Rhinolophus ferrumequinum: one gene and its partners. The protein of the gene in region 2 purifies or fractionates together with the protein of the main gene of each other region. This does not show direct contact. Links are inferred from orthologs where the notes say so. Each region holds a gene or a part of one and is shown on either strand. Other genes may lie near its edges.

Region 1 (7,566 bases), on a different chromosome or scaffold from region 2:
GTCCTTAGCCATGTTATCCAAGTGATCCACACAAAACACTGTTTTCCAGTTGTCTGTCCCCATCCTCAGGGTGGCTCTGTTACTCACTTGTCCGGTTACTTTTAATTACCTCGTTACTTTTAATTACTTATTTACTTTTTGGATGTGTGGACTTTCACCACGGCTCTAAGAGTCAAAACTTTCAGAAAAGGTGTGCTCAGAGGAATGTCACTCTCCCCCTTATCCCTATTTTCATGTCCCCTCTTCTTCCTCCCCCTTTCCCACCCACACCAGGTAGGTAACCTGGTTCCTCTTTTTCCTTTGCACAAATGAGCAGATACACGAATATTTTTTATATCCCCTTCTTACATAAAGGGCAGCCTACTACAGATATTCTTTTACTCTTTGCTTCTTTTTGGCCCCTTTGGCCTAGAAGTCGTAGCTACTCCCTGTGGTCACTAGACGTTGGGCTCTTCCACATTTCTTCTTGGTTCCCTGAAATGCACCCATGTGGTTATGAAAGTCCCCTGAGTTATCTGAATTGGGTTCCATCTTCTGCCAGAACATAAAATGATTCATCCTCCTGTCCACTAATTGCGCTCTCTCTCTCTCTCTCTCAAGTGGCCTCATCCCTCAGTGGCCATGTTTGGGCCTAACCATTCTGTCCATAGACGAGTCTGGAACTGAACTAGAAGGGCTGCTTTCTTATACAAGGAAACTGTAACCCCAAGAGCTGAGAGATAACCACAGTCTCTCTACCACATGGCCCAAGAAACAGAAAGCCAACTGAAGAGTGAGGAGAATAAAACAAAGGCATAAAAAGCAGCAGAGATGGGCAAGCGAAAGCCTGAAGATCCAACTGCCCATGAATTCCTGGAGAAACACTTATAGCCTTCTCATACGTACTTTTTTTTGGCTTGAGCCAGTTTGTTGGTTAACATAACTAGCAACTGAATCCTCAACACACATGGTGAGGTTAATTTCAACTGCTTCTAACCACCACCAAAATAAGATAAAATATCCCTGAAATAGTAATGGAATCAAAGGCTGAGGGAAAGGGAGCCAGAAGCTAAAACCAAACAGGACCAAAGGTGAAAAGTAAAACACAAAATGATTAGGTCTACAGGGGCAGGAACAGGATTCCAGCTAGACTTACGGCACTCTGCTGGCACTCGGTGACCAACTTAACCACAGTGTAGGTGATTTTAGAACTGAGTCAGTGGAGATCCCATGGCAGGCTCACTCACCTGCATTCTGACCTTGATTCAAATGGTGTAAATTCTGTTTTGCTCCTCCACAAACACGGCAAATTTGTGGCCAATATTAACAATCCTTACGAAGAGTTTTATTTCGTCAGTTAGTCTACATGGTTCTGTGATACACAGAACTGAACATTTACTAATAGTTGTGGCCCTAATGTGTCCATGGTCCTGGTGACTGGTGAGAGAGAGGTTTGATTTAAAAAATGAAAACCCTGTCCAACTCATCGCCCCTTTAAGGCCTACGTTACTGTTTAATGTTACTGAGTACCTACTAAGTGCTGGACACCGGCTAGGCCTTAAGGGTATCATACAGACAGGTCAATAATGACCTTCCAAGATCCATGATGAGGGAGTGGCTGAGCCTCTAAGATCCCTAGGATCAGGCTTCTGGTTACCTCTGTAACCTGATCTTCCACCATTACCCTCAGCACGAGTGGAGTCACCATCCTTTCCTTCTGGAAGGCTCAAGCCTACTTAACTCTTGATCAAGCAATTTCCTTAGCCTCCCCTGACCTGCCAGACGAGGCAGGTTTCTTGTTTTTCGTTTTTTCCCTTCACAGCCCTCAGTATAATTTTATATATAAACACACAAATAAACAGAAGTCATTTCTGTCTGTTCATTCTAGCATGAGAGCTATAGAAGGGCAGGCTACTTCCTACCCCTCGAGTCTAGCTCCGTTGAATGAGTTAAATACTGAGTCCTGAGGATACACAGAGGAAGCACTTGACGTGGATTTAGGAGAGTAATCCCACCTCCGTGGGGAAGGCTCCAGCGCAGTAGTCTCCACTGTGCTTGAGCGCGTTTGGCGTCCACGGACTACAGCACCCCGTTGATACACACACCTTATATGCCACTGCTTTTCCTCATCTTAGGAGTAATAAAGGAATCGAAGACTGATGTAAAAGGAACGCCAGACGAGATGAAAGTAACCATAATAAACCAAAAGTGAAAAGTAAAACACAAAATGCTCAGGTCAATCCAGGCAAGAACAGGATTCTGCCTAGGCTCTGGGGAGACTTTTGGGAGACGTTTCTAACCTGGGCAGGTTACAGACAAGAAGGACGCCCTTGGCTTTCCTCGGTAGCTAATTACCAGGCTCGGGTTCCGTGGTGGTCCAAACCAGGGATTGAAGGCTGAGCACAGAAGAGCTCAGTGTAGTTACAGCTGCCTCTAGGGACCTTAGTTCTCCAGAGACAAAATGGCCAACAGCAAAAATTATGCTGCTGCCTGTGGAGCCACTTTTTAAACACCCTTCCTTTATTTGTAAGGCGATTTATATTCCCAAAGCGCTTCCACCTCGGGTGCCTTCTCTCTCGCTGTGACTCCCAACCACGAGGCGAGGAAAGGCGGCCAGAAGCCACCGCGACAGTGAAGCGGCTCGCGAAGGCTGAAGGGAGGGCCCTGGGGCCGCGCTCCTTCGCTACGAAAAGGCCTCCGGGACCGGGCGCACCGCTTCCTACCCGGGTTCGGAACCGGAGACCCGGGAGGCTGCGAGCACGCACCCAGCCCTGCACGGACGCTCGCCGCCCGCTCCTAAATCGCCCACGCTGCCGGCCGCAGAGCGGTTTAATCCCAAGGTAAACGCAGACCCGCCGCGGCGCGGCCGCTCCTCCCGGGTGAACGAGGGCCGCCCGCGACCCGCGGGGCCAGGAACACCCGGCGGCCCACGCCGGCGCCGTGCTGGAGCTACCTGGATGCCGTGCACGATGTACACCTTCTCCGCCTCGCTCAGCGTCACGGACGCCATGCTGCCGAGCCGGCCCTGACGTCATCAGCCCGCGTCGCCCCCGCGCGGGCCGCGCCTCCCGCTCCTGTGCGTCATCAGCCTGCGCGGCGGCCGCTCCTGCAGCCGCCGCTGCTGCCACTGCCGGGAGCTCCATGGGCTTCTCCTGCGCGCTGCCGCGTGTCTGGCAGAGTCCAGGGAGCCGCGGGGCCTCGTGCCGGGGAGCCATCGCTGCAGCCCGAAGCCGGGGCCCGGGTCGAGGACTGCAGGGGGAGGCCGCGGCGGGAGCCACGTTAGGGGCCTGGGACTGGGGAACTGCCTCCGACTTCACGGTCAGTTGGGAGGCGGAACTGGAGTTGGTTGGAAAAGCTGGGGTGAGGTGAGAGGCGCGGGGCCGGGGCCGAAGCCGGAGGACTCGTAGTGGGAGAGGCGCGCGACGCAGATTGCTCAGAGCTGGAGTGGAAGTAGCAGGTCGTGTGCGTGTGTGTGAGAGAGAGACACCGGAGTGAGGGGAAGCGGACTTGGTGATTGTCTCCCCTACAGACCGGGGGCTGTCTCGGTCTCCCTACCCCCACCGCCCGGTCCTGCATTTTCCTGGTCCCTAGGATGGTTGAAAAGAAGAGGCGATGAAGCCCTTTTTAGCTTCTCGGTGGAAAGGTTCCGGGCCAGGAATGAATGCCCACTAGTCCCGAGGCGTCCTCAGTCCACCCCACGGATTCCCCCTCCCCCCATTTCTCTCTTTCTCTCTCTCTCACCGAACGCTGACCCAGGACCTTTCAGGATCCCCTTGCCCCGGGTGGTCGCCGGAGTATGATCCCAAAGAGAGTAGGAGGGAGAGTCCTGGTAACCGGCGCTGGCGAGGGGCGCAGTGCCCAGGCGTCCCCAGCGCTTCTCAGTGGTGGCTGGAAGCCTTGACTCGATGGGGTGATTTCTGGGAGCTGTGGACAGCTGCTGGGGGCGGGAGGGGACGGGGAGGCGGGGCGGAAGCCCAGGTGCTGGCCGAGTAGGAGTCTCGGCCTCCAATGTCCAGAAAGGATACCTGCAAGGTGGACATGGGGTCACTGAAGGAGCCCCAGCAAGGCGGGGCAGACAGGGTATGGCACAGATTTTAACAGAGCCATGTGGATAAACGGAGGAAAGTTAACCGAAAGTGATGGAAGCAAAGAGGGGATCTGATGACTTTTCTAAACGTCCCGTATTTGGGGAACCTCCCTGTTCTCAAAAGTGAAAGTAACCCTTGATGGCTTGGTCATCCAAAGAACGACCGGTGTTTCCCAGATACTGTCTTCAATATAGTTTCCCAAATGACTATTGGGATCTTGCTGTGGGTGGGCTTTGGGCTAGCTTGGAACACTAAGGCCAGTGAAACACGACGTCTGCCCGGAGAAGCTCCCCAGGCAGAAGGGAAGGCTCCAGGGCCACCATAATCACAGAACATGGTGGTTAAGAGCTATGACGGTGGCACCAGTGAGCACAGTGGGACAGGGAGGTGGGCCAGAGGAAGGTGCAGAAAGGAAATACCTGTCCACCTTCTTAAGCACTAAACTGCTAAGCTCCTAAAATAGATGATCACTTCTTAGTAGACTAGACATTAGTTATTTCTTATGTCTCTACGTAGTTCTTTACAGGTGCACCTACAGGGAAGACATATTGCAGGGTTGGACTTTGCCCTCCAGGGAAACGGAAGGGTGAAGCCGGAAGGATTTCCTCCCTAATGAAAACACAGGTGCCCCATCTGTTGTGGCAATAGACGTTTTTCTGTGTGGTTTGACACCTGGATCCCATGTGAGGAACTCTGTGGTAACAGAGGATGCTGATGTTAAAACAGGATTTTGTGGTAGAGATTGCTCAGAAAAGAGAGACCCTGGACATGGAATTTTAGTAGCTGGAATATCTAAGAGGATTAAGGATTTAAAAAGTGGCAGCAAATGGACAGATCAGAAAAGACACAGAAAGGAAAGTCTGAGTTTGGATACCATGGAATCATCTCAATATAAAATCAGTATGTCTTAAAAAATATAAAAGCTCTATCTGAACTGTTCCCCCGACAACTGACTAAAGGTTCCTTGCTGGAGAAGGGTTGGCAGTATTTGCTAAGTAATATTATGAATGATGTCTGACTTAACAGGCTAAGTAGGTGTGAGAGGTATAAATAGTAGAATATTCATTTTACATTCTCTACTAAAACAACGATACCTTCACTGATCGTTCTACTTCAGTGCGGCCAGAACATTTTTATCCCATTTGTTGTGATAATACATTAGACATTTTTAAAACCCATAAATTCAGAGTTCCTTTTTGGTTTATTGAAGCCATTCAAAGAATGTATGTTAGCCAGAAAATCCAAAAGCCAAGGATGGCACGTTATTCTGTTAAACCAGCTTGTTTTTCCATCACTGTCAGATTCTCTAGGGCGCATACTGTTTTGTAGGTCTGTCTATTCTAAACCTCTGCACCCTATTAATTTTATTTAACTCTAACTTACATAGTGCTTATTATGTACCAAGCACTTGACAAAGATTGACTGATTCAGTCCTCACAATAGTTCTACGAGACAGATACTATTATCCCTATTTTACAGATTGGGAAACTGAGGTGCAGAGAAGTTACTTGTCTTGACCAAGGCCACAGGTCACGTAACTGGCAGAGCCAGGATTTGAGACCAGGTAATCTAGCTCCAATCCCTGCACAGCTAATATAGAACGTGGTGCTAATGGGAAATTCCTATGTCTAACCCCTTTGGATAAGGGAAACAGTTAAATACAGGCTGATGGAGCTTAGAGGAGCTGAGGACAGCCCTCAACGGCAGAGAAGGCCGATGGATCTGGTACGGAGATGGCATGGAGACCCAGATTCCAACCACGTGCCTTACACCCACAACAGACACCTAGGAGCTCTTCAAACAATCAGGAAGTACTTGTTTGTGTGCCCGAGAGTCGCTTGTGTTCTCGAGGGCCTGAAGTAATAAGAAACTGAAAACACACACCTGCCTAAAAGGGGTTTAGGATTTATTATAGCCGGGGAGCCCAGGCACTTTGAGCTAGTGCATGAACAAGACAATAAAATATTGCTCGATTGAGACACATGATAATTAGACAAGAGGCCAGCCAATAATAAGGTGCTAATTGTGCATGCCAGGCACCAAGGGCAAGAGGTGAAGAGCTGCTGCGAGCCACTAGCGGGCAACGAGAACCTTACAGAGATGGAGTCCATCTGTCCCACCCAGCCTTGCTTCATTAAAGCAGTAAAAGCCGGTGACAGAAGAGCTTCGATGCCGTGCTGCGTCCGTGGTGCTGAAGTTGCAGAGAGCTCCTAAAAGCCCGAGGAACGAACATTTTATTCCCAATCTTTAAACAGAGGGAGCCAAGTTTTAGGCCTTTTCCTTTGCATTTTCACAATTAGCCTCGCACCTCAGAAAAGCAAAAGTGAGCTGCTGTTTTCCCTACAGATCTGTTTCCTTTAAACACTTTGCATTTGTCCTGCCTGTTTCTTGTCTTAAAGAATTTTCATTATAACCTGTCACAGTCTGGCCAGCAGGGCTGTATCTGTCTTGCTGCTCTACACATTATAACTTGTGATTACAGTGATAGAAAAATTGATATGAATACATGGGTAAAGTTTATTCTCATTTAGAGGAAGGGTCTTCACGTGTGTTTCATTTTGAGTGAGTGGCTGGGTGCTTCCCATGTCTTTCGTTAGGGCATGTGTGAGAAAAGGGGCTCATGTTTCCAAATGAGCAAATCTGGAAATATTTAAAGACACATACACACCCTGAGAGCACAGCCATAGAAAGCAACAGAATCCGAAGTAGAAATAGAGGAGTGATGTATGAATATTGATCTGTTGGGGGGAAAAAATGGTTAATCCCATGTGGACTCTACTTTCTTCCTGTTTTTGCATTTTTTTATTTGCCTTCCTCTTTGGAAGCAGATTTCCAGAGACAAATGGCTGGGTCATTCCTGGCTCTGAAGGTGCTGTGAACCGTGAAGGTGAGAAGACTACAGTTGCATGTCCCACCTAATTCAGTCACTCATCCAGGAAATGCCAGGAAAACACCATCTTTTCAATCTCCTACAAACTGTAACCTTCCTGGTATGTAGAGGCTTGGCGATTGAACTCTGGATTTTCTGGGCTACCGAGAAATGAGTTAGGATCAGTGGGAATGGAATGCCTTTGGGTGGGATCGATTTTTCATCTTAGGAAAATGAGCCTAATGGGATAAGTACAGTCCCGTTGCAGTAAGTTTCAACTTGGTTATGTACAAAGTGAGCATTTCTAAGCCAAGAAATAGTAGCAGGGAATCTAGAAAGGCAGGTTGGTTGGGAAGATAAGGATCTATGGTGGAAAGACTACTGGACATTTATTCCAGTGATCTGGACTTCGCCACACACTGGCTTTGTGACTTTGAGCAAGTCAGTTAACCTCTCTACGCCTCATTTTATCCTCAAATGCATATCTTACCAGGTTGTAAAAGTCAGAATAGATCCTGGATATGCAAATATTTAAACATTGAAAAATGGTCATGTTTAACTTTGGCTTTTAAAAGGCTTCTCTCTTTCACCACTTGGTAACATGTGATGCATTTTGATAGTGCTTTTTCC
Region 2 (7,763 bases):
TATGGGCCTATTTTATAATTCCTCATCTTTTGTTTTCACATTTAGTGTATTCGGAGACATGGTAAAGCAATGGAAAACCAATAGTTTTTCATCAAGTTAACTACTTTGAAATGTTCAGGAGAAAAGACATTTAAATTTCAATTCTTTGCTTTTGAATGTCCCAGGAATTGGTTTTTAAAACAATCCTTAATATTAAAAATATTTTAGAAAACAGAAGTTGAAAAGGCTCTGCAGTATGTTAGCGATCTGAATGATAACAACAAATTGATTTTAGTAGCAGAAATGAAATACGACACCTGGAACAGCATTTAAACCTGGATGTGTATAAACATCTATATCTTTGTGTCTGAACAAAATCAACTTCAAGCTCATTTAAAAATATTCCATCTGAAAAACCTGCACAATCTAGTTAATGCACATTTTTTTGAACTGGGCATATAATAAGGACAACTTATCATTTTCATATACAAATAAACACACTTCATCTTTTACTACCAAGGTCTAAAGAAACTACAAGATTTAAAAAAAAATAAACTCATAGTTGCTGCTTTTTAAATAACTTGGGGTGGTAAGAGTTTGGATACATAATTCTAATACGGTATGTTGTTTCCATACGGCATGAGTCTTCAAGTTCAAACCATAAATCTTTCCCAATGTTAAATGAAACAAAACCAATTTTTAGAGTACTTGTTTAAAAGGTACAAGGTAAGCATTTTATACTGATTTCAATCAAAACAATCCTTTGTTTAGCAAATACAATTACTATGGTTGGTAGTAATACTTGTAACCTAAAAATAAAACAAGTGATATCTGGTTTCATTGAATAAATCACTACAAATACAATTTGTATCCACAATAAAGGAGTGTAAAATTTAAAAATAAAGTACTCTCTTTTTCCCAAGGGGAAAAAAAAGTAAGCTTCTGAAACAATATATCTATAAATAAGAAGATTAAATAATATGCAATATCAACAAGAAATAAGCAATAACTCTGCTGTAAAATGCAAACCGAAAGCCAAGAATCTTCAATACCCACATACTGGGGACACTGCAGTTTATTGATCTGCAGTCAGATCTTTTGGCCAGATGTTGCAGCAGAAATATAAAATAATGTTACTGCATTCCTACTAGCAAAGAGAATACTAAGTTAGTTTAAAAAATACTTTATGATTAAAGAATAAATTCCTCCCCTCCCCCTACAAAGGAGCGTTTCTAAAGGGCGGGGGATATCTACATTAATAAATAATACAAAACGGATACCTCCGGCCTCTTTGATGCTGCACAGCTTGACAAGCCGTTTGCATGAATATAATTCCCTTCAATTCAGGAAACTCAAGGATCTCAAAGTAATCTTGAACAACTTTCCAATCTGGGATCATGTAATGAGTCACATCACTAGACAAGAGTTTCCCATCTGAAGCATAAATCGAAATGCAAAAGATTAGATACATTTGCAAACCTGGTTTATTATTTCAATGTCATGGTGCCCCCCTGTGCAAAATAACTTACAATCTTAACTGCACCGTGAAGTTTTTAAACGACAAGACAAATCTACCTTGGTAGAGGCCCAAAGTTCAGGTAAATTCAGCACCTTCATTTTTCTGAAGCTGTGATAAATAAAGGCTCAACGTGGTTTATGGTGCTGCCAGTGGAGCAGGGGATGACTGATTTTTTAAAAAACAAACAACACATCCTCAGCACAACCTGAATATTTCTGTGTTAACTTACTGACATACACGCACATTCAAATGGGGCCCCTTAAAATATGCATGTTAACCACTTGTTTCTGCCCAGCAATTTCAAGTCGGTACTGTCTCAAGTTTATGAACATGCTGAGCAGTCTCCAGAATTGACCAGAAAAGTTGTTCAATGCAAACAAGGGCACTGTTCAGATTTCCATGCAGCCTGTCATGTCATGGAGTGGGTCGGCCAAGCAGTAACTGAAAGGTTCACCTTAACCATCAACCCTCAACCAAGCTGAGGATTCCACATATTTGCTGAAAAGGCCCAGCACGCTTATCTCCCCCCAGAGGGAAGAGAACCAATAATCTTTGTTCAATGGACCACCCTTGCAGCCTAGAAACCAAGTGGGGTAAGGTCTAGCGCACAGCAGTCCCCAATCCAGCTTTCCCATGACCTTCCTGTACAATGAGGACCCACATAATTCACAAATCCTTTGGATAAATGCCAGATGCATCGGTGCTGGCAACTCAGATAATTTGTGGGGAGCAAAGAAATGTAAAATGAGCAGCAGCAGCAGCAGGTCTCCCGCGCTCATGCCACTGGGTTGCCTTCCGCCTCCCACCGAAGGGCCAACAGCTCAGGTCCTCCCCATTTCACCACACACGACAGGAAGGGGCAGTTTCCTGCGCCCTGGCCCCTCGCATAAGCCCAAATCACCCGGCCTCTGGGCTGTGGGGGGCGCCTGTCTCTGGGCCCTGCCATTTCATGGGGCGCAGCCGGCGGGGAGTTCCGCACGGAGAGTTCCAGAAGCAGCCAACCACCGCCATCTCTGCGGCTCTGGGGCCGCCGCCTCTCGCTCCCAACCCGCAGCGTAACGAAGGTGACGCCAGGGGGCGGTGAGAGGCCCGGGGCCTCGGACTCGGTGCCTCCGCGGCCTCAAAGGGCACACGACCCCCGGCCCGCCGCCCTCGCTCCTGCCGGCCTGGCTCCCCTCGCGACCGGCCTCGGGTCTCCTTGTTCTCGCCCGGCCTGGCCTGCTCTCGTTCCCGCCCCGGCCGCCCTCGCTCCCGCCCGGGCCCTGACCGTTGAGGCAGACGGTGGGCTGCGAGCAGAGCGGACTGTTGCAGGGCACGCTGGGCCGCAGGTAATGCTCTCGCACGATGCGCAGCGTCCGGCCCTGGAAGGTCTTCAGAAGCAGCACCTTCTCCCGCTTCTGCAGCATGGTGGCGGCGCTCGGCCAGGCAGGGCTCCGGGGCCCGCGAGGCCGTCCGGAGCGGCGGCGGGAAAGCAGTGAGCGCCGCGCGGCGCGGGAGGGAGGCGAGGCCGCGGCTTCGGGCCCGCCCCCTCGGCCGGGCGGGCCTGGTCCTCGCGCGGCTCGCGGCTCTCCCGGCAGCCGCCGGAAAGTGCCCGGGGTTGAGGGCTGGAGGTGGCCCGCGGGAGGGGTGGTCCTGCCCGGCCCTGGCCGGCTTCCCCCACCCTGCCTCAGTTTCTCCCCTCTCCACAATTGCCTGGGGGTAGGGATGCGAGGGGCAAAAGATTTCATCGGAGATAAGAGACTATATGGAAGCTAGTTTAAAGTCTTGTGAAGAAAGATTTGGCGCAACTATAGAGAATTATTATACTTTGTTTCTACCCCCGGTCCATATGGGAATGGGCAGCCATATTAATATGGTAATTAGTGTTCTCTGTTCGTTGCTCTTACTGTCCCTGAAAGAGCTAAACGATTGGGCAAATAAGCCCGCAACCCTTCCAGCCCAACATTTTTTCTCTTCGGAAAGTTGTATTTATTTTTAATTTCATGTATTTTTAATCCATATAAAAATTCAAACAATGCAGAGAGAATGAAAACCAATTCATTCCCTTAAGGTAAACACTGTCTATTTAACCCTAACTTCATAACACTGCAGCTTTTGGCAAAGGAATTTTCCTTGAAATTTGGTGGAGGCTCACACACAGTCTCCTCTGAGATCACACACCCTTGGCTGGAAAGAGGCCAGTGTTCTTCCCAGCTCTCAACAAAGACTTTTGAGCCGCACCAGAAGCTTTATATACGAGTGTCACATTTAATTTCCACAAGTCAGTGGAGTTGGGCATTATTATCCCCATTTTACAGGCGATGAAACAGGATTAGGGAGGTTAAGTGGCCAAAGTTACCCAACTATTAAGTGGGGAAATCAATATTCAAGCCAGAATCTGGCTGAATCCGAAGTAGGCTCTTAACTAATTACCGTGCTATTCATCGATGAATAAAATATAACTCTTGTAGCTGAGGAGTTTATAGTCAGCTTGTTGAGCTCTAGTTCAGGCAGCTCAACCATCTGGCTGGAACATGGGAGCTTCCTATTATGCCGAAGTGAGCAGAACTAGGGTGTTGTGTCGGATCACTTACTTTTACTCTAGGGGGACATATTAAAAAGAGTCGTGGTTCCTTACTTGTATTTTTATGTCAAGTTATCTGCAGTGTTGGATAATGGGAGTGAGATCTGAGATGGAATTGCACAAGTTAGGAAAACATTACAGTGCTGGTTCACAGACCAGAGCCCTGGGAGGCCCCATAAAGCAACCAGCATTGCAGGAGGCCCTTTCTGATTCAGGAAGTCAGTTCTAGAGATTCCAGAGGACAGGCAAGTAGCCACATTTGTCCCCCACATAAAAATGCTTCTGACAGCTGCCCACAGTTCCCTCCAAAGCTCTCCCATTTTCATTTTTCTTTTACTTCTGATTTTATATCCTTAACATCTCTCTTTGGCATTTTGTAGCTTTAAACTTTCTCTAGATTCAGACTAATGATCTTTTAAGGAGGAGAGTGTGTCTGGCGCTGTATTGAAAGTTGATTTTTATCAGTATTTAAAATAATCCAAGGCTCATCAAGCACTTCTTTTGCTTGCATTGAGACAATGGTGTACAATTTATGTTCTTAAAAGCATGATCCCTTAGTTCTTGGAACTGATGGTCTAAAATGGACAAGAATGCCTTTTTGTTGGTTTGTTTGTTCACTGACCATCTGATGCATCTTGCCTGCAAAAAAGATTTCTAAATCAGTCAGAATAAACTAGGTTATGCTGCAGTAATATACTACTTCAAAAACCCCAGTGACTTGAAACAAGATATGTGGGTGCCTAGAGGCTCCACTCTGTATTGTAGTCCAGGACTAAGGCTGATGGAGACAGTCCTCTCTGGAATACTGTTTGCTATTCTTTGGCAGAGGGAAAAAAGCCCTTTAGACAGCCTTACCCCAGCAATTAATAGCTCAGACCGGAATAAAGTGATGCATGTCACCTCTACCTATTGGTGGGAACTAATCACATGACCATACACTCAAAGGCAGAGTGGCAGCATTAGTGACTACTTGAATGCCTCCAACTCACACCCCTTAAGTCTTCTCTGCCATCACCTTAACCCTCGTGTCTGGGATTACTCCAGCTCAGCCCACTATCCAGTCTCTTGGGCATTGTACTGCTCACCTCTTTTTACATCCTCACCCGCCTCCCCAATAGCCAGTAAGCCAAGCATACATCACCCTATCATCTTTAAGCCGTATTGCAATCCTTCAAGGTAAGTATGTGGGTTTTTGTGGCAGAGGCTGGCTCTTTGTTCACCAAATCCATGTCCTCTTCTCTGGGTACACAGATGAACCACATTTCTCATGCATATAGTGGCCACAGAATGTAATGACACCATTTCCAGGACTGACCCATGAAAACCTCTTTCCTCCACCAGCTAGATGCCAAAAGCCCAGGGGATCTTGAAAGCCAGTGCTGAAGACAGCAGACCCTTTTCCGCCACCATCAACATGGGTCCCAGAAGAACTGTGCAGAGCCCTGCCTCCCTCACCCAGGAGCGTCACAGGATTATTGTAAGGGAGATAGCAACTTTTGTTATAGCAGCTTAGAATTATCCTAGCTAATACACATCCACTTTACAAAGGAGATTAAAGGCTGAAGAGTTACTCATTTGTTCAAAAAGATCCCTCACTAGATATTGTATGTCTTGAAGAAATGAAGCTGCTCAAGGATTCTACAGCAGTTCTAAATTGTACAGTCCTTTAGGAAGTGGGAGAGCAGCAGTGGTCTTAGGTACTCTGGTTTGGTTTGTGCTACGGTGCCACAGCAGTGCCACACTGGGAAGGATGCTTGGCGGCTTGCTTCAATTTTCATGTTTCCCTTTTCTTGTCAAGTGCAGATGGACAGCCTGGTTCCCAGATAGCAGAATGCTGCGACAGCTTTCAGCACTCTCTTGCTGATGGAAATCTCAATGGTGGCTCGGTTTCCCTGGTGCATGACTGCGGTCCTCTTAAGGCTGAGCACCAGCGTGCTTACATTGCAGGAGTCTGTAGCATTTGCATGCCTTTTGCAGATGTGCTCTGTGAATGCAGACATCAGCAACCACTGGATTACAATCAAATAGTCTCATCAAAAGGTTAGCCTAGAGAGGGTAGGGCATCTTTACAAAGGGCTAAGAGGACAAGAAGGTTAAATGTATAAAAGGAATTCTGGAAGATGAGCTCCAAGGGCTAGAGTGGATTACTGAAGTAGGCTTTGAAATAGTCTGTCTTTTGATTTATCTATTTAAAATTACAATAGCACAACATGCTTGTTGCAACAAATTCCAACAATACTGAAGTATGCCGAGTAAAAACGTTGAAGTTCACCTTGCATCCGAAATCTACTCCCAAGTAATTTACCATTGTTGAAGCTGGATGCATCTTAGATGTCATTAAATATAACCCCAAATTTGCAGCTTTTCAAAGGGCTTGTCAATCTATGCAGTATCAGCTAATTACAGCTAATGTTTGTCAAGATTTACAGGTGCTAGTCATTGCCCTAAGCACTTTTCTTGTGTTTTCTTATCCTCAAAACAATGCCTTGACTGTGATACTGTTACCAACTACATTTCACAGGTGAGAAAACAAGTACAGAAGGATTGAGACACAGGCCACGCACTGAATGTATGGCAAAGCCAGATTTGGACCGCAGGCGGTTTGACTGCAGAGCCCAGGCAGTAATGACTCAGCTATTGCACCTTTCAGCTCGTAGATGGTTACAGAATGGGGGTACAGTCCATTCAATGGACCATGGATGAACCCAGTTATTTTAGGGTTAGGGATCTGGAAACAATGCCATTCAAATATTGACTGCTACTACTTTTTAAATTTCCTGAGCCTCAGTGATTTCCACTATAAAATACAGCTAATTTGACAGATGTTGCTGGCTGTGTTAACGAGTCAGTGATTCTAAAGGGTCATGTAAATGGATAAAATGATCCTATGTATCTGAAGAATCTGCTTACTTTCAGTTGTGCTCCATCTCAGTGGAAGAGTCACTGGAAGACAAAGGGCTGCTGAGATTATTTTGCTACTTGTATTAGGGATAATTTAATTTCCTATATGTTAAAGGCTGTTAATCCTTGATTTTCACTTTTCCCAGCAGATACAATAGCTCCCTTTTGGCTTTCTAAACACCCTGTGAATCCCCATAATCCACTTTGCAATGATTACTCTAAAGTGTTCTGCTTAACTCTTTCTGAAAATTATTTTGTACTTAACCAGTTTGTATCTCCGCCAGATTTTTATTGTAATTTACCAATAATTTTTCCCTTTTACCACTAAGAGGCGCTGTTCATTGTTTTTCTTTTCTTTTCTTTTTTTTTTGGTTGGGGGGTAAGTCTGCTTCCCTTCTGTGCTAGTATCTGCGTAGCTGAAATGTGGCCTTTTACATACTACCTTTAAAATGCATCCAATTATTTGAGACAAAACAAACAAGCAAACAAAAAACCTTTGTATTAAACAATACATTAATTCAAAGAACTCAAAGGTTCAGATGCTCCAAAATTACTTAGAAACTAAGCTTCATTGATTAATACAAAAAAGAAAAAGAAAATCCTTTAAGTCTTAAGAATAAGACTAGAAAATCCTTAAGAATAAGACTAGTAGACAATTCAGTTATATGAATAGCCATTTATAATTCAAAAATAGAAAGATTACTATTTATCATTTAATTTTTTCTGTATTGATGTTATTTGATGAAATTAAATTTTCATTCATCTTGTAGGATTATTACTACTAGTGGAATATAAGTCATG
Region 3 (7,764 bases), on a different chromosome or scaffold from region 2:
CTTTGCAGGCAACCATATGACAAATTATTTTTCATATATGCAACTCACAAGTAAAAGCATTTCAAAAGCAAAATATTAAATTCCTACGGTAAATTAACATGAAAGAGGACATTTATGAAAGCTCAATAATAAGAATATGGAGATAAGCTGGAAGGAAATCAGAAAAAAATGTTCTTTCAATGAGAAAGTCTACTGAGTATCAAATTAATTGGAGAACTAGTCTGAAAGGTAAAAGTGGAGGAATGAAAAACTCAGCACAAAAAGTTCTACGCATGTACCGTTTCCCCCAAAATTAGACCAAGCCGGACAGTCAGCTGTGTCTTTTGGAGCAAAAATTCATATAAGACCCAGTATCATATTATATTATACCCAGTCTTATATTACAGTAAAATAAGACAGGATCTTATATGAATTTTTGCTCCAAAAGACACATTAGAGCTGAATGTCCAACTAAGTCTTACTTTCGGGGAAACGGTAAAATGCTATAAAACATATACATAGTAGTGGAAAAGTCCCTGAAGAATTTAAAACGAGGCTGGACAGCACAGAAATAATTTAAAGGAATTCTTTACTAACCACATTAAGGACAACACGAGTTAACACATTGATTTCATTTTTCTTCCAGGTTATATCCCTTAATGACCTGAGTCTAAACTTCAAAGGAAAATCATTTGCCTGCATTTTCAAATATTCTGTGGTATCTCAAAGATCCCCTTCTTAGACAGCAATTCTTTTTTTAAGATCCCTTTAGGCAGTTGATCATCAATCTCATGTGAAAACTATTTCACGACAACTTCCTGATATATGTTCTATGAGCATCTTGAATTTTTCCAAATTGGGGGGACAGGGGGGGTCATGTGGAGGGAGGGGGTGGGGCACACTGGCCCAAATTTCCAGAATCTGATGTCTGATTCCCCTAAGAGTCACAGAGATGTGGGAAAAGATTCCAGGACACTGAATAAACCCCTCTCATCTTAGTACCAATGAACTGGGTACACATTTCCGACCACCCTACCTGTCACTTGTGCCTCTCTGGCTAGAGCCACACCAGATCTGCTCCCACTTCAGTTCCTGCCTCAGGGTTTTTGCCCTCACTTCTGTAGCTTAGAGCATTCCTCCTCCACAGAACTACCGGAATAGTTCCTTTACCTGTATCAGGGCTTTTCTCAAATATTAGCTTTTCCATGAGACCTTCCCAGGACACTCTCCTTAAAATTAACCCCTCCCCCAACTCCCTAGTATCCCATCTCCCTGTCTCATGTTTTTTCACATCACTTACCACTAACTATATATTTTTACCTAAGTATTTATTTGTCTAGAAATGAGCTCCATGGAGACAGGAATTTTTGGTCTGTTTTGCTCCCAGCAACCAACAGTGCAGCCGGGTCTCAATGTTTGTCAAATAAATGAATGATGGCACATGGTCCCTTCTCCCTCTTCAGTCTCAAAAATTCTAAAATGTTTCGTCAAGTATAGAAAAGGTGTGAAGCCCTTTCTTTTCTAGTGAATCACTACCATCACCAGTGTATTCCTCAGTGTTAAATATCAAAGGAAGCATTGTGTGACATTTTTCCAGATACGTGCCACTTAAAATTTTTTTTCTAGTGTCCTCAACTGATGTCAACATCTGATGTAACAGAAAAGTACACATTCCAGTTTGAGCACTCTGAAAGCTGCTACACTAATGAGTAAAACACATAAAAACATCAATGAATGACAGAATGCATTTATGTTCTAACCAAAATGGACAAACTCTGTAAGGTCAGAGCTGTCAATTATTAGAATGATGAGAGTTAACGTACAGATAGGATGACAAGAAAAAAATGTTTTTAATCTAGGAGTCTGAAAAAGAAACACTACATGAGTCAAGATTCTCTTCCCTGCACCAACACTGGGCACCAAAACTGCTTATAACCCAAGGTATACAACATGGGTAAGAAGTTGTTCACAAGTTCTGGCCCCTTCCTCAATTTCTTGCAACTTAAATTGGAATACTTACCTTTCTCACAGAGACAAGAGGTGTGCTTAAGTGCTTTGACTTTCAGGGAAAGGAAGCATTAAAAAAAAACACACAAAACACGGTGCTAGATAAATGCAACACAATATTATTGCTTCCCAATCACGGTCACACAATCTGCTCCACTCTTATGCCCTTCTCTGGTCGCCTGATTTATGCTTCAGCCACAAAACTGAAGTATTCAGAATGCTGACAATTAAGGCTAATGCCCATTTTAACCCGAGGTGAACATTCGGGTACCAAAGATGCCACAGGCTCTACTTTCCCAACCTCTGTCCCAGGTTCCGAGCATGGCTCCACCTTGCCTCAGGCCTGGTCCAGACCCCGTCCTCTCGCCACGGAAGGAGTCTTCCCAGCGCCAACGCTCGGTGAGGAAGAGAAGGGTGCACCTCCCAGAGGCCAGGTGTGGGGAGGCGGGCCGGCCAGCGCAGCTGTCCGGCCGCAGCAGCTGTTACCCCGGGCAGCCCGCGGCTAGGAGGGTGGCTGGCCCCGAGGGGCAGGTAGCGGAAGGCGAGCCCTCTGGCCCTCAGCGAGCCGGCCTGACACTGCCCCCCTCACCAACATCTTCCCTTTCTCGGCTCCCCACCGCGATGCCAACGGGCCCCGGCGGAGGGGGCACCTCGGCTCCGAGGACGGGATGCGCCCGGGCCCGGCGTGCCCCCCGCCGGGGAGGAGGCTCTCTCCGGCCCCGCACCTGACCTGTCCCCTCGCCTGACGCCCGAGCCGGCCGCGGCCGCTGCCGGGGCGGCCTGTGGGTGTCCATGCGCCTGGGCAAGGTCCGCCGGAGCGGCGGGGACGCGAGCGCGGGCGGCAGGCCCCGGCGGCCCGAGGCGTGGGGCGGCGGAGCCAGGGCGCGGAGCAGAGCCCGGCAGGGGAGCGAGACGGAGTCGCTGGTTACCTGCGGTCCGGGACAGGGAGTCTCTCAGAACCCAAGTCAGTCCTCAGCCTCAACAACACAAGATGGCCGACACGTCGCCACGCACGTCACGTGACAGCGCGCTCGCTCCGCCACGCCCCCTGCTCCGCCCTCGCCTCGCCTCGCCTCGCCTCCCTCCCGGCTCATCCAACCTCCCACGACATCCTTCCTTTCCGCTGCCTCCCGCCCTTCTTCCCCGACACTCCCCTGCCGGAGCCCCGGATGTCGAACTGGAGGAGGCGGGGCAGCGCCTGGACGCAGTCGCCTGCGGGTTGCTGGGCCGGGGCTTCCTACCTGCCCTTGGGTTGAGTAGAGTTGGTGTCCAGGTTTGGACCCGTGCCTGGCACCCTGTGACTCACCGGCCTGTGCGCCCAATCCAGAACCTGTTTGCAGTTCAAAAAGTTCTGCATCACTTAAGAGTCGATATTCCAAACTAGAACTTTTCCACAGATTTTCATCCATCATTTTCCTGCCCGCTTGCCATCATAGAGAAAATGGGGAAGCGAGAAGCGCCAAAATTCAAAGCAGTTTCTCTACATATTAACGGTTCTGGTAAAACTGGGAATTCATTCTAGAGTCTTGGAATGTGACAGCTGGAAAGGACTTTGGAGCTCTGACCCCCTCTTACTGCATCCAGGGTTAGGACCCTTTTGCTTTAAAATCTCCCATTTGGCGGTTGCCAGCTAAAATACAGAATGCCCAGCGATATTGGAAACAAATTTACACTAAAGAAGTATTTATTGTTTTTCTGAAATTCATATTTAATTTGGCGTCCTGTATTTTTGTCACATCTGGCAACTCTGCCCTTCTCAGGTCATCCAATTCTTGTGCCTACAGCCTCTTCCCTTTTTACAGGATCCTTCCCATCAGCTTTTACAAATACTAAAAAGGTTCTTCTGTTTTAAAAGTTAATGTTAAAAACTCCAATTCCTCCTCTAAACACTTCCCTACCTCTCTGTTCCCTTTCAAAGCCAAACTGCACAAAAAAAAAAAAAAAGTTGTTTGTAAGCACTTTTCCAATTTCCACACCCGGCAAGCAATCATCAACCATTCCATTGTGGTCGGTATCCTGACCCATCCACCTACCGCTTTGTCTAAGGACAACTCCACCTACAGGTTGATAATGAGTTTTCCAGTCCTCATCCCGACTTAGTGCTTTATCTGTCTTTTTTTGTTGTTGTTTTTGGTTTTTTGTTGTTTTTTTAAAGATTTTTTTTATTGGGGAAGGGGAACAGGACTTTATTGGGGAACAGTGTGTACTTCCAGGACTTTTTTTTTCCAAGTCAAGTTGTTGTCCTTTCAGTCTTAGTTGCAGGGGGCGCAGCCCACCATCCCTTGGGGGAGTCCAACCGGCAACCTTGTGGTTGACAGCCCGGGCTCCAACCAGCTGGGTCATCCGGGAGCTCAGCTGCAGCTCAGCTCAAAGTGCCATGTTTAATCTTAGTTGTGGGGGGCAGACCCCACTATCCCTTGCCGGAGTCGAACCGGCAGCCTTGTGGTTGAGAGCCCGCGCTCCAACCAACTGAGCCATCTGGCCACCCGGGAGCTAAGTGGCAGCTCATTGACTTCATTCTAGTTGCGGAGGGCACAGCTCGCTGGCCCATGTGGGAATCGAACAGGCAGGCCCGTTGCCCAGAGCTCGCGCCCTAACCAACTGAGCCACCATCCACATGAGTTCTGCAACTTTTGACAAACATATACAGGTGTGTGTAACAACCAATAAAAACAAGGTACAGAATAGTCCCATTACCCACAAAAGTTCCCCCAATGATCCTTTGTAGTCAGCAATAACCCCCACTCCCAGCCTCTGAAACCACTGTTCTGTTTTCTGTCCTTTAGTTTTACCTTCTGATGTCATATAAACAAAACCATAGAGTATGGTTTTGAGACTGGCTTATTTCACTTAGCAATGCATTTGAGAGTCAGTCATACTCTTGCATATTTATTGCTAAGTAGTATTTCCTGGGATGTATGCACTATATTTGTTTATCCATTCCCCAGTTGAGGAACATTTGGGTTGTTTCCAGTTTAGGAAGATTATTAATAAAGCTGCTAAAAATATTCACATGCAGGTATTTGTGTGAAGATTGGTTTTTATTTCACTCCGGTAAATACCTAGGAATGGGATTGCTGTTTATGTGGTGCTTGTTTAAGTTTATCAGAAACTGCCAAACTATTTTTCAGAGTGCTTCAGCCATATTTTTAGCCCTAAACTATAAGCTCCCAGAGAGAAGAACTGAATCTAAGGGATGATGGTGATGATGGTGATGGTGATGGTGATGGTGATTAAAGGTGATAACATCCCATGCTTTGAACCATTACACATGCTGCATTATTTGACTTTGCATCCTCAGCAGCTGGCATTGTCTTGGCACAAAGTACACATTCAATAAATACCGATAGAATCAAATAAATCCTTGATCATCTACTCCTCAGGAAGGGTGTTTTCCTCTTTCCTTTTAATTCGCTGTCTCTCTAATGTTTCATTAAACAGTGGTTTTTAAAATTATAACAGTAGCTTGATGCCTGCCCTAGTCAGAGATGATAATAAAGTTTCAGCTCAGTGTCATTGATAGAAACACAGATGTTGAAAATGAGACATTATCAGGGAGAGAGGGGAGCAAGGAGTTTAACCTGAAATGAGTTTAATTTGTAATAAACACAGGTGATCAACCATGAGAGGTGGTATTTTTCTAAAGATGGCAGCAACAATATCTTCCATCCAACATACTCCTCTAGAACCTTGGCATTACCCTGTCTAGAGGTAGAGTCTACTTGCCCTCCCCTCTGGCCCTTATAACCGATAGAACGCGGTGGCAGTAAACGAGGTGACTTTCAATGCTAGATCATAAAAGTGATAGAGCTTCCTCGTTTGCTCTTCTGAAGCAAGAGCTGCCATATAGTAAATCTAAATAGCCTGATTCTGCCATTCTGTGAGGAAGCCCAGACCACAGGGAGAGACCCATGTAGTTACCCCTGTCAACAGTCCTAACTGAAGTCCCAGCATCAACAACCAGACACGTGAGTGGAAAAGACCACCAGATGATTCCAGCCCCTGCTGTCAGTCACGCCCAGGTGTCCAAGCCCACGACAGCATGAAGCAGGGACAAGCATCCTCACTGTGCCTTGTGTGAATTCCTGATCCACCAAATCTATGAGCATAATAAAACAGTTGTTTCAAGCCACTCCGTTTTGGGGTAGTTTGTTACACAGCAATAGTGACTGCAACATCACCATTATGGATCTTACTGTGTCCTTCTAATAAGATATGCTGGCCTCCTCACCTCAGGATATACCCAAGAATGTAACCTTATTTGGAGAGAGGGTCTTTAAGAGGTAATCAAGCTAACATGAGGTCATTAGGGTAGGTTGTAATTCAGTATGATTGGTGTCCTTATAAAAAAGGGGAATTTGGACCCAGAGCGAAAACTCCATGTGAAGAGGAAGGCAGAGAATCAGGTGACACTTCTGCACCCCAAGGAAAGCCAAAGATGGCCAGCAAACTATAGAGGCTAAGACAGAGCCTGGAACAGATTCTCCCTCCCACGCCTCCAAAGGAATCAACCCTGCCCACGCCTTGATCTCTGGCTTCTATTCTCCAGAACTGTGAGGCAATAAATTTCAGTTGGGAATACTGGGAATACAGAAGCCCTAGCAAATTACTACAATCATCTAAAGGTCTGTAGAGGCCATTTGAAATGAAGGAGATTAGAGGGGTTCAGAGCTACAGATCTGAGAGTCATAGAGAGGAGATCTTTGAAATCATGGGGAATCACCCATCACCAGCAACTCCTGAGAAGAAAAGTATGATGAAGGAAGGCTCTTGGGAGGAAAGGTGTAGCTGGTGGACAGAAAAGTTACAGGTAGGACCAGATTAGAAGCAGGAGCCAGTCTCAGAACAGAAGGAGGAAAATATTGATTGGCGATGTCAAATCTGCAGCGTTATCAAGGAGTCTGGGACTAGGGAGAAGGCCATGGAATTAATGACTGGAAGTGTCCATGGCACAGGGAGAACAGAGGGTTAGGGAAAAATGAGTGCTGAGGAAGAAAGGGTGCAAAAATTTGAAAGTGAATGAAAAAGCAGGACAGATTTGTTAGTGGAGAAACCAGCGCCACTCAGATTTGTACCCTAACTAAGAGAGAGGACTGATGTGTCCTGAGCACTAAATATATGCCAGGCATGGAATCTGCCAGGTAGGCAATCATCATCCCCATTGGACAGGTGAGGAAACTGAGGCTTAGTGAGGCTAAGTTAACTAGCCTAGTATCTGACTCCAAATCCCATTACATCATGGGATGTAGAACTGATTTGTTTGTTCTCAGGGCAGAGGCAGAACTGATTCGTTTGTTTTCCCTATTGCTCAATCAAAGGAGGGCCTCTCGGAGTGGACTCATCACTTTTCCGGAGAGAATGAGGTCCCCACAATCTCTGCCGTCCTCACTTGCAGAGCTGTCCCCTCAGGCTAGGCTCCCATCTGAGACAGGGTGCTTAGAAAGTCACTCAGTCAGTGGAAGTGGTCTTCCCTTGCCTGTCTCTGTCTGCTCCAACAAACCTGGGATGTCCTTGTGAAACAAACATGCAAGGGATCCCTGCCACATGCGGGACAGTGTGCTAGTCCTATAGCAGTGGGTTAGGCAGAGTTCATGCCCTTGAAAGAGTTCATAGTCCAAAAGAGGAGGAAGGGAAGTAAAAAGAAGGATGCTACATAATGCCGTAAGGAGTACAGTAGAGAAAAACTCAGGGCAAAATGGGAACCCAGAGAAAGGGCATCTCTAGTCTGGGAGGATCAAGAAAGCTTCCTGAAGATAATCACTGAGCTGAGTCATAAAC
Region 4 (7,751 bases), on a different chromosome or scaffold from region 2:
AAGCCCCACTGCCATTTTTACTCTCTAGCACACTCCTCCCACCGAATGTCTTCGAAGCACTATATGTGTTTCATTCCCTGAGACTACAAGCTCTTTCAGAGCAAGACTATCTATCTAGCCAACTACCTGGTGCATGTTTGGCACTAAACTAATTCTTGTTTTATTATAAGTTAATGAGTCAATCAATTTAAAACGAAAAACCCACAAAGAACATAAATATATCTCCATATATCATTTATTCATTTGACAAACACCAACACTAGGCCAGGGACTATTAGAAACGTTTGGAGTACAACAGTGAGTGACAGGCACATTGCCGTATCTCTACAACTTAAAATCTAACAGGGAACACAGACAAGAAACGAACACTTACAAAACCATATGACAAGTGTTTCACATGAGAAATACAGGGCTATTTGGGAACATACATGTACAACAAAAATAGAAGTGGTATTCGGGTTGCTAGGGAAAGATCCCAGAAATACAATATTTAACCAATTCCAAAGGAAAGTTAGCTACTTTCTGAGGGTATTCATACAGCAGGAACAACATGTTCAAAGGCTGAGACCAAATGTTTATGGCAAAGAAAAATTAAATAAATGCTACTATTGGATTAAAATGTGTAACATTCAATAAGTTAGATAACACTCCCAAGTTCATAACTTATTAGCAAATAAATGAGGAGCCATTCACAAAAATGTATTTTTAGATATAAAAGACACGAAGAATCTTTACTAGGTCAGTTTTTCAATACTGAAATTGACCCTAAAAGTACCACAATATAAAAAGATAAAGAGAATTCTTTTCTGGGATTTTTGTAAAGTGGTTCTTTACCTCAACAAAATTTTGGGAGAATTCCCTGCATGTAAGCATCGTGCTGGCTACTAGAATAAATATAAAGTATGGACTTTGCCTTCCTGGTACTTTTAAATTAGTAGCTAAGGCAGTCATGTAAAGTGCTATTCAAATCACAAAGAAGAACGAAGTGAGAGTTAAAAGTACCAATAGGTTTTGCAGCACAAACTCTCTCTAATGAAGTTCTATTAGTTTTGAGAATTTTTAATTTATTATTCTAAGAGTACAAGGAAAAGCTTCACTGGGAAGAAAAATAAACTGGACCCTGAAAGTGAGTGGAACTTTTGTAAGCAGGAAAAGGGATGAGTCTCCAATGCTATAGGAATAGCTTAGTTATGACATCATCAATTGTTCCAAAGAAACATAATAACCTAACCGGGGGTTGCCAAGGTGAGAAGATATTTAGCCCTCACTCACTTCCTCAGGCCAAGAACTTCTCTAGGAAGCTTTCCTTCACTTAGAAATCCTACTCAAACTCCTCCAACCCATTCTGAATAAGGTGTTCTCACAGAGCTTATAGGCCACTGTACTTTATGTAGCATCTCATACGGTAAATGGGCTGCTTGTGTACCTTCCCCTTGCAGACTCCCTCAAACATCTTACTACCCATCCCCAAAACTTAGAACAGTATTCTAAGCATTCAATTCATGAAGAATAAGCACTCAATTAATGTTGCTTGAGGAAATTATATTTATTAAAGAAATGAATAAGCAGTAATTAGACCTAGTCATGTCTTTTTTATCATATCTGCAAAACTATCTCCCAAGCTAACATCCCTTCTTAGGTCACCATGGTCCAAATGCAATCCTTACGTCCACTGCAATACTTTAAAACAGACTCCATTCTAAAGTGAACACCAGGAACCTAACATATGCCAGGCTGACTGGATTCCAGTCTCCAAAGGTGTTAGCTACCCTCAACTATGGTTAGAGCATCCGCATGTTCTCCAATAATCTGCTGGGAGTGCCAATAATAACCACCAACGTATTAAACACCCTACATGCTCTGCATTTTACAGAGCAATAGGTCTTCATTCCTCTTCTGCACTGGATCGTATTTGTTTATAATTTTAGTTTGTATGATGCTTGGCGATGCCTATAATTATCCCCTACACAGAGACTAACTCTAACTTCTTTTAAACTCCTGGAGAACATTCATATACAATTTCTTTCTTTTATTACATTTTTTAAAATCAGTTCAGTCATTTTCGAAGCCCTCTTTCTTCTAATACTGCTTTTTTTTTCCATTCCAAAATACATTTACATTGAGATTATCAACCAAGAATTGAATAGACACATAAGATTATCTAATGGACTCTTTGGGCCTTTTTAATATGTATCTTTTCTTCCCCCTTCTAAATTTCCAATTTAACTTGAAACTCATAGAAAATAAATTAAAGTTAGCTCAAGCCACATTCTGCACTAAATATGTATGAACAAACAAAATATTTACCATGTAAATTTCACACAGCTACAGCAAAACAGTTGATTGTAACCATTAAATAAATCCGTATTTTACAAATAAGCGGCGTTTCATGGGCACTTTGAATGGGAGGTGGCGGGAAACAGAGGTAAAAGTAGGCAAGTGTGTATTTCTCCACGGAGGAAATAATGAAGAAGGAGAGGAGACAATGATTACGTGTATAAATACCAGCGGATCACAGCCTCGCCAAATGTCCTTCCCATATGACACCGTAAAGCACCAACCCCGCCCTATGTAACAATCCCAGAGGTCATGACATAAAAACAGCACAATTCTCTGGCACTCAAATGTCCTATTAGTTTTTCCAACTAAGTCTCCTCGGAATTCCAGCCTGGCACCACTGTCGAGGAACTCACAAATCGAAGTGGATGCCAATAAGCTGGGATCCCGGCTGGAACAGAGAAAAATGACAGTCCGGCATACGCATGTCACTTACCTTCATCATAGTTATAGCCTCGAACATTCCGATGCCGGGCCATGGCGGCGAAGAAGGCATTCGCCACAGTCCCTTACAAAACACCCGCTCAGATACTGATAAGGCGCCAACTGCGGCCTGGACAACACCTATACGCCATCTTGGTTTCCGGCAGTACTCCGCGCTGAGCGCCTGCGCACACGCAACGCCTTGTCTGTGCACTGAGCTACGGCAACCTCTCAGGGTCAATCGAATCCCTAGGAACGCATGCGCACTCGTACCTATGGGCCGGGGATTGCGTTTTAGCGTGCCCTCACCTGCTGGCAGGTTGACTGACGGGAGTTCCAAAGAGGCGGAACTCCACTGCTTCCAATTTGTTGATTTGGACCAAATGTTAGGAGCTGGTATCCTTGACCTACGCCTGCGTTCCAAAATATTTTCCAAATTTGGTGTCTGATAATCTAGTGAAAAAGCTAATTGTGTGCTGAATAAGAGCCAAGGCCTTGTCTTATCCAACTTTCATCTTTGCGGCCTACTTAGGTCCGTAGTAAGCATTAACAAACTTGTGTACATTTGCTTTAAGAATTAGTCCAAGCTTTGGAGAGGAAAAACTATTCTTTTTAAATATATAGTTTTAACCATATGGTTAAACTGAGCATCTACTACAATAGGTCACCATGCTTTCGTGTAATTCATGGTTTCATGTATATGGGTCCTGCATAGATACCTCTAGTAAACAACTATCTGCCCTTGGCGATATAAATTATTATTAACATCATAAAAAAGGATTCATTGAGCATTCGTTTAATACATAATGGTGTGTAACATGCTGAGTATTAAAGCTTTTTAGTCATAGCACATCATGCCACTTATGTGCTAATGATAATTGTTGTTGATGAATAAATCTATAAGCTACTGTTACATGTCCTTATTTCTTAGAAAACAAAGTGAAAACAACCTATGTAACAAACTATGTAAAAAAACAACCTCATACTGAACAAACTACACTTCAGTTTTAGCTTGTGTATTTGAAATGGTGATACTTTACTTAAGAGTAAATATCAAATTCTAGAAATGAATGAAAAGCTTACTCAGCTTTTTATTATCCACAATAGAAATAATAATACAAATTCAATTCATATTTGTAAGTGACTTGAAATATAGTTTATACGTGCACCTGAATGCATCTAACAAATGTTTGTTCTTAACTATCATTGCTGCTTAATGTAGCTCCAAGACAAACTTACACACAAAAATAGATAGTTGCTAATTTTATATGGCTTAAATGTTTCCTTTTACACTTCACGACAATTTTTATGCTGCAATCTGTTTGTCAGTAATTTAGTAATAGTATCTAATTCGTAAAGCTGTGAATAATTATCTATGTAAGAGGATTTCACACAAATATTAGTAGGTGCTTTAAAATTTTAGATATTGTTAAAACACCAATGGCAACTTCCAGCTCACTGTAATTGTCAGTTACAAGCTTCAGTATAACTCACTGAGGTATAAAATAGATGAGTTACAAACTGACCACATAAACAGAACTACAGGAGCAATGAAGAAGAAAACATTACTTCTGCCTGAGAGCTAATATGTAATTTGCTTCTGAGTCATCAATAATGCACTCCCTTAAAATTCTAAATACTTGAGAGTCTTGATTATGACTCAAACAATAAGGCCTCAGTGGCAAAGCATTCACTGATTTCCATAGAAAGTTTTAAGGATTTTATTCTCCCAGAGCTCTTTAGATGGGATTATAAGTTTTGTGTTGTGGTTGGATGAAAAGTACCATGACTTAGAATTACACAAACCTGGATTTCAGTACCAGTTCTGCCACTTCCTGTATGTTAACTTCTTTGGACTCAATTTCTTCATCTGTAAAATGGATACAAGAAGTTATGTCTTCTCTTTTGTGAAAAGTAAATGAAGTGATGGTTGTAAATACAGTAACTGTTACAAAATAGGTACTGTAAGGGAGGAAAAATTGTCTACCTACTTTAGGTCTCTGACTGGGTCTAAGAATTAAATTGACATAAGGCAGGTTAACAGGACAAAAAACATACAAGTTTAAATATTTACTGATATATGAGAACTTTCACAAGAGAATGAAGACCTGAAGAAATGACCAGAGCAGAATGCTCTTGTACCTTTTAGACAAAGAAATAAATGTGAAGAATTGACAAAACAATGGGAAGTATTGTAAGGAAGTAACTAGGAGATATATGGTGTGTGGGGGGGGTGGTGTGCGAAACTAGTGGAAGATAATTGTTATTTCAGTAAGTTTGTACAGATCCATTTCAACATCAAGTTCCAGTCTCTGATGAGAAGGATGTTCTTTCCTTCTAGTAGAGGGAGGGCACCTTTCTCATGGGAAATTTGTGATCTGCTTTAGATAGAAAAGGGTAGGTAAGATAGCCCTTCTCATATCTGCTGTAACTCAGGTTCCTTTGGCTCAAAATAATCAATATGTTATCTTGGGGTGACATGCTCTGAAATCTTTCAGTGCTCAATAAATGCTAGTTCTCTACCACATTTATTAGAAAGCTTTACCTGTGTTTCTCCAGAACCCTAATGTCTGGAACTTTGAATGTTTGCTGGATGAATTACTGAATTAAAAAATACTGTCTTTAGATATGAGCTATTTAACAAATGCCATAAGTGACTATACAAATAATTATGTCTATTTTTGTAAAAATTATAAATGAAAGTAGCATAACTACATTACTAAAAAAATTTTAACACATTTATTGAGGAATCATTGACAAACAATAAACTGCACATACTTAAATCATACAATTTGAAATGTTTTGACATGTGCATTCACTAGTGAAACCATCAACCCAATCATGATAATGAACATATCCAGACTCCCAAGATTCCTCAAGTACCTTTATAATCTCTCCTTCTGCCTCTCACTGTCTCGTCATCCTGGCCCCTGCCAACAACTGATCTCCTTTCTGTCACTATAGATTAGTTTGTATTTTCTAAAATTTTATATAGAGGAAATAATATAATATGTATCTTTTTAACTGGCTTCATTCACTCAGCTAATATTTTTGATATTTATTCATGTAGGTGCTTGAATCAATAGTTCAGTCCTTTTTATTGCAGAGGGGAATTCTATTGTATAGATACACCACAATTTGGTCTTCCATTCACCTATGGATAGATGTTGGCTAGACCAAATAAGGCTGCTATAATTATTCATGTACAACTTTTTGTATGGAAATAAGCTTTGATTTCTCATAGGTAAATACCTAGGAGCAGAATGGCTGAATGAAATGATAGGTTATGTTCAGCTTTTTAAGAAACTGTCAAACAGTTTTCCCAAGTGGTAGGAACATTTGGTGTTCCCACCATCAGTGTAGTTACATTTTCTCCACATACTCACCATCCCATGGTATGGTCTAAAGATATTGTGTTTATTTGACATTTCTATATCCCCTTTGGTGAAGTCTCTGAATCTGTTTGTCACTTTTTAATGAGGTATTTGTTTCCTTATTTTTGACATTTTTATATCCTAGACACAATTGCTTCATCAGAAATATAATTTGGAAATATTTTTCCCAGTTTATAACAGGTCTTTTCATTTTTTAATAGTGTCCTTCAAGTTTTCAGTTTTGATGAAGTCCAATTTATCAATTTCTTGTAATGGATTGTGCCATTGATTTTGTATCTAAGAAATCTTTGCCTAACCCAAGGTCACAAAAATTTTCTTCTATTTTTTTAAAATAAGTTTTACAGTGTTGAGCTCTAAATTTAGAGTTTTATTATCCCTTTTCAGTTGATTTTTGTATATGGTGCAAGGTTTAAGTCAAAGTTTATTTTTACATATGTATATTCAAGTGTTCCGGCACCGTTGTTGAAAAAAAGTCCTTTCTCCACTGAATTGCATCTTTATCTTTATCAAAAATTAGTTGTCCGTATTTATATGGTCTGTTTCTGGACTCTCCATTCTGTTTCACTGATCTACTGATTTACTGAACTAGCTTGACACCAGTACCATGCTGTCATTATTGTAGCTTCATAAATCGTGAAATGAGGTAGTGCCAATCCTCCAATTTTGTTCTTTTTCAAATTCTTTTAGCTATTTTAGGTCCTTATAATTTCCATGTAAATATTAAAATGAAGTTATTAATTACTACAATTATTCCTGCTGGAAGTTTGTTATTTTATTGAATCTGTAGATCATTTGGGGGGAAATTAACATTTTAACATTGCTACAAACATGCAATGTTTCAGCACATGCACATTATATGTCTCTCCATTTATATATTTTCTTTAATTCCTATCAATAATGTTTTCTAGTTTTCAGTGACTGGTTTTGCACTGATGATTTAATTCTAATTATCTCATATTTTTTTATTCTATTGTAAATAATATTTTTTAATTTTAAGATAAAATATACAATTAAACTATTAAAATTAATAAGTTAATTAGTGCCATAAATACACAGAAAACTGTACTTGTATATAACAGGAGCAAACAGTTGGAAAATAAAAATTAAAAATAAGGTACCTATGTTAGCATATAAAATGTTACCAAATATCTAGGATAAATATCATAAAAGATATGTTAGGCCTAAACTGAAATTAGAAAACATTGCTGAGCAAAATAAAAAAATTCACATTAAATAGAGACATATGCCATGTTTATGGATTGGAAGAGTCACTATTATTACATTAAATGAGAGAGACGTCTATTCCTCCCAATTTAATCTGTATCCAATGTTATCCTAATCAAATCCTAGCAGTTTTTTGGTGGAAATTGACAGGTTATGTAATTTAAACAGAGCAGCAAAGATCCTAGAATAGCTAAGATAATATCAAAACAGAATCAAGTTGGAGAACTTACGTTATCATTAAGATTTATTTTGATGCAATAGTAAGTTAAACAATCTGATCCTGATACAAAGGATAGAGAAATATAACATTGAAATACTATGGAGAGTTCAAAAACAGATCCACACATGTGATCATCCAATTTACAACTCAGG

Evidence for each region.
Region 1: the proteins of DIS3L (region 2) and EXOSC7 purify together in Homo sapiens (affinity purification with mass spectrometry; 3 studies listed by BioGRID and IntAct, counting the BioPlex papers as one, with this or other methods). This does not show direct contact. The link is inferred for Rhinolophus ferrumequinum from reciprocal best matches to the Homo sapiens genes DIS3L and EXOSC7.
Region 3: the proteins of DIS3L (region 2) and GIGYF2 purify together in Homo sapiens (affinity purification with mass spectrometry; 3 studies listed by BioGRID and IntAct, with this or other methods). This does not show direct contact. The link is inferred for Rhinolophus ferrumequinum from reciprocal best matches to the Homo sapiens genes DIS3L and GIGYF2.
Region 4: the proteins of DIS3L (region 2) and HBS1L purify together in Homo sapiens (affinity purification with mass spectrometry; 5 studies listed by BioGRID and IntAct, with this or other methods). This does not show direct contact. The link is inferred for Rhinolophus ferrumequinum from reciprocal best matches to the Homo sapiens genes DIS3L and HBS1L.

The regions. Positions count from the first base shown.
Region 1 is NC_046300.1:9,960,853-9,968,418, forward strand, and holds the start of EXOSC7 (exosome complex component RRP42), read right to left. Parts: upstream 3,018-7,566; 5' UTR 2,990-3,017; coding exon 2,933-2,989; intron 1-2,932. UniProt on the Homo sapiens protein: Non-catalytic component of the RNA exosome complex which has 3'->5' exoribonuclease activity and participates in a multitude of cellular RNA processing and degradation events.
Region 2 is NC_046289.1:44,648,090-44,655,852, forward strand, and holds the start of DIS3L (DIS3-like exonuclease 1), read right to left. Parts: upstream 3,007-7,763; 5' UTR 2,905-3,006; coding exon 2,766-2,904; exon of another isoform or gene 1,440-2,765; intron 1,414-1,439; coding exon 1,260-1,413; intron 1-1,259. UniProt on the Homo sapiens protein: Catalytic component of the RNA exosome complex which has 3'->5' exoribonuclease activity and participates in a multitude of cellular RNA processing and degradation events.
Region 3 is NC_046291.1:6,113,533-6,121,296, forward strand, and holds the start of GIGYF2 (GRB10-interacting GYF protein 2), read right to left. Parts: upstream 3,007-7,764; 5' UTR 2,916-3,006; intron 1-2,915. UniProt on the Homo sapiens protein: Key component of the 4EHP-GYF2 complex, a multiprotein complex that acts as a repressor of translation initiation. In the 4EHP-GYF2 complex, acts as a factor that bridges EIF4E2 to ZFP36/TTP, linking translation repression with mRNA decay.
Region 4 is NC_046286.1:81,623,765-81,631,515, forward strand, and holds the start of HBS1L (HBS1-like protein), read right to left. Parts: upstream 3,001-7,751; 5' UTR 2,817-3,000; coding exon 2,774-2,816; intron 1-2,773. UniProt on the Homo sapiens protein: GTPase component of the Pelota-HBS1L complex, a complex that recognizes stalled ribosomes and triggers the No-Go Decay (NGD) pathway.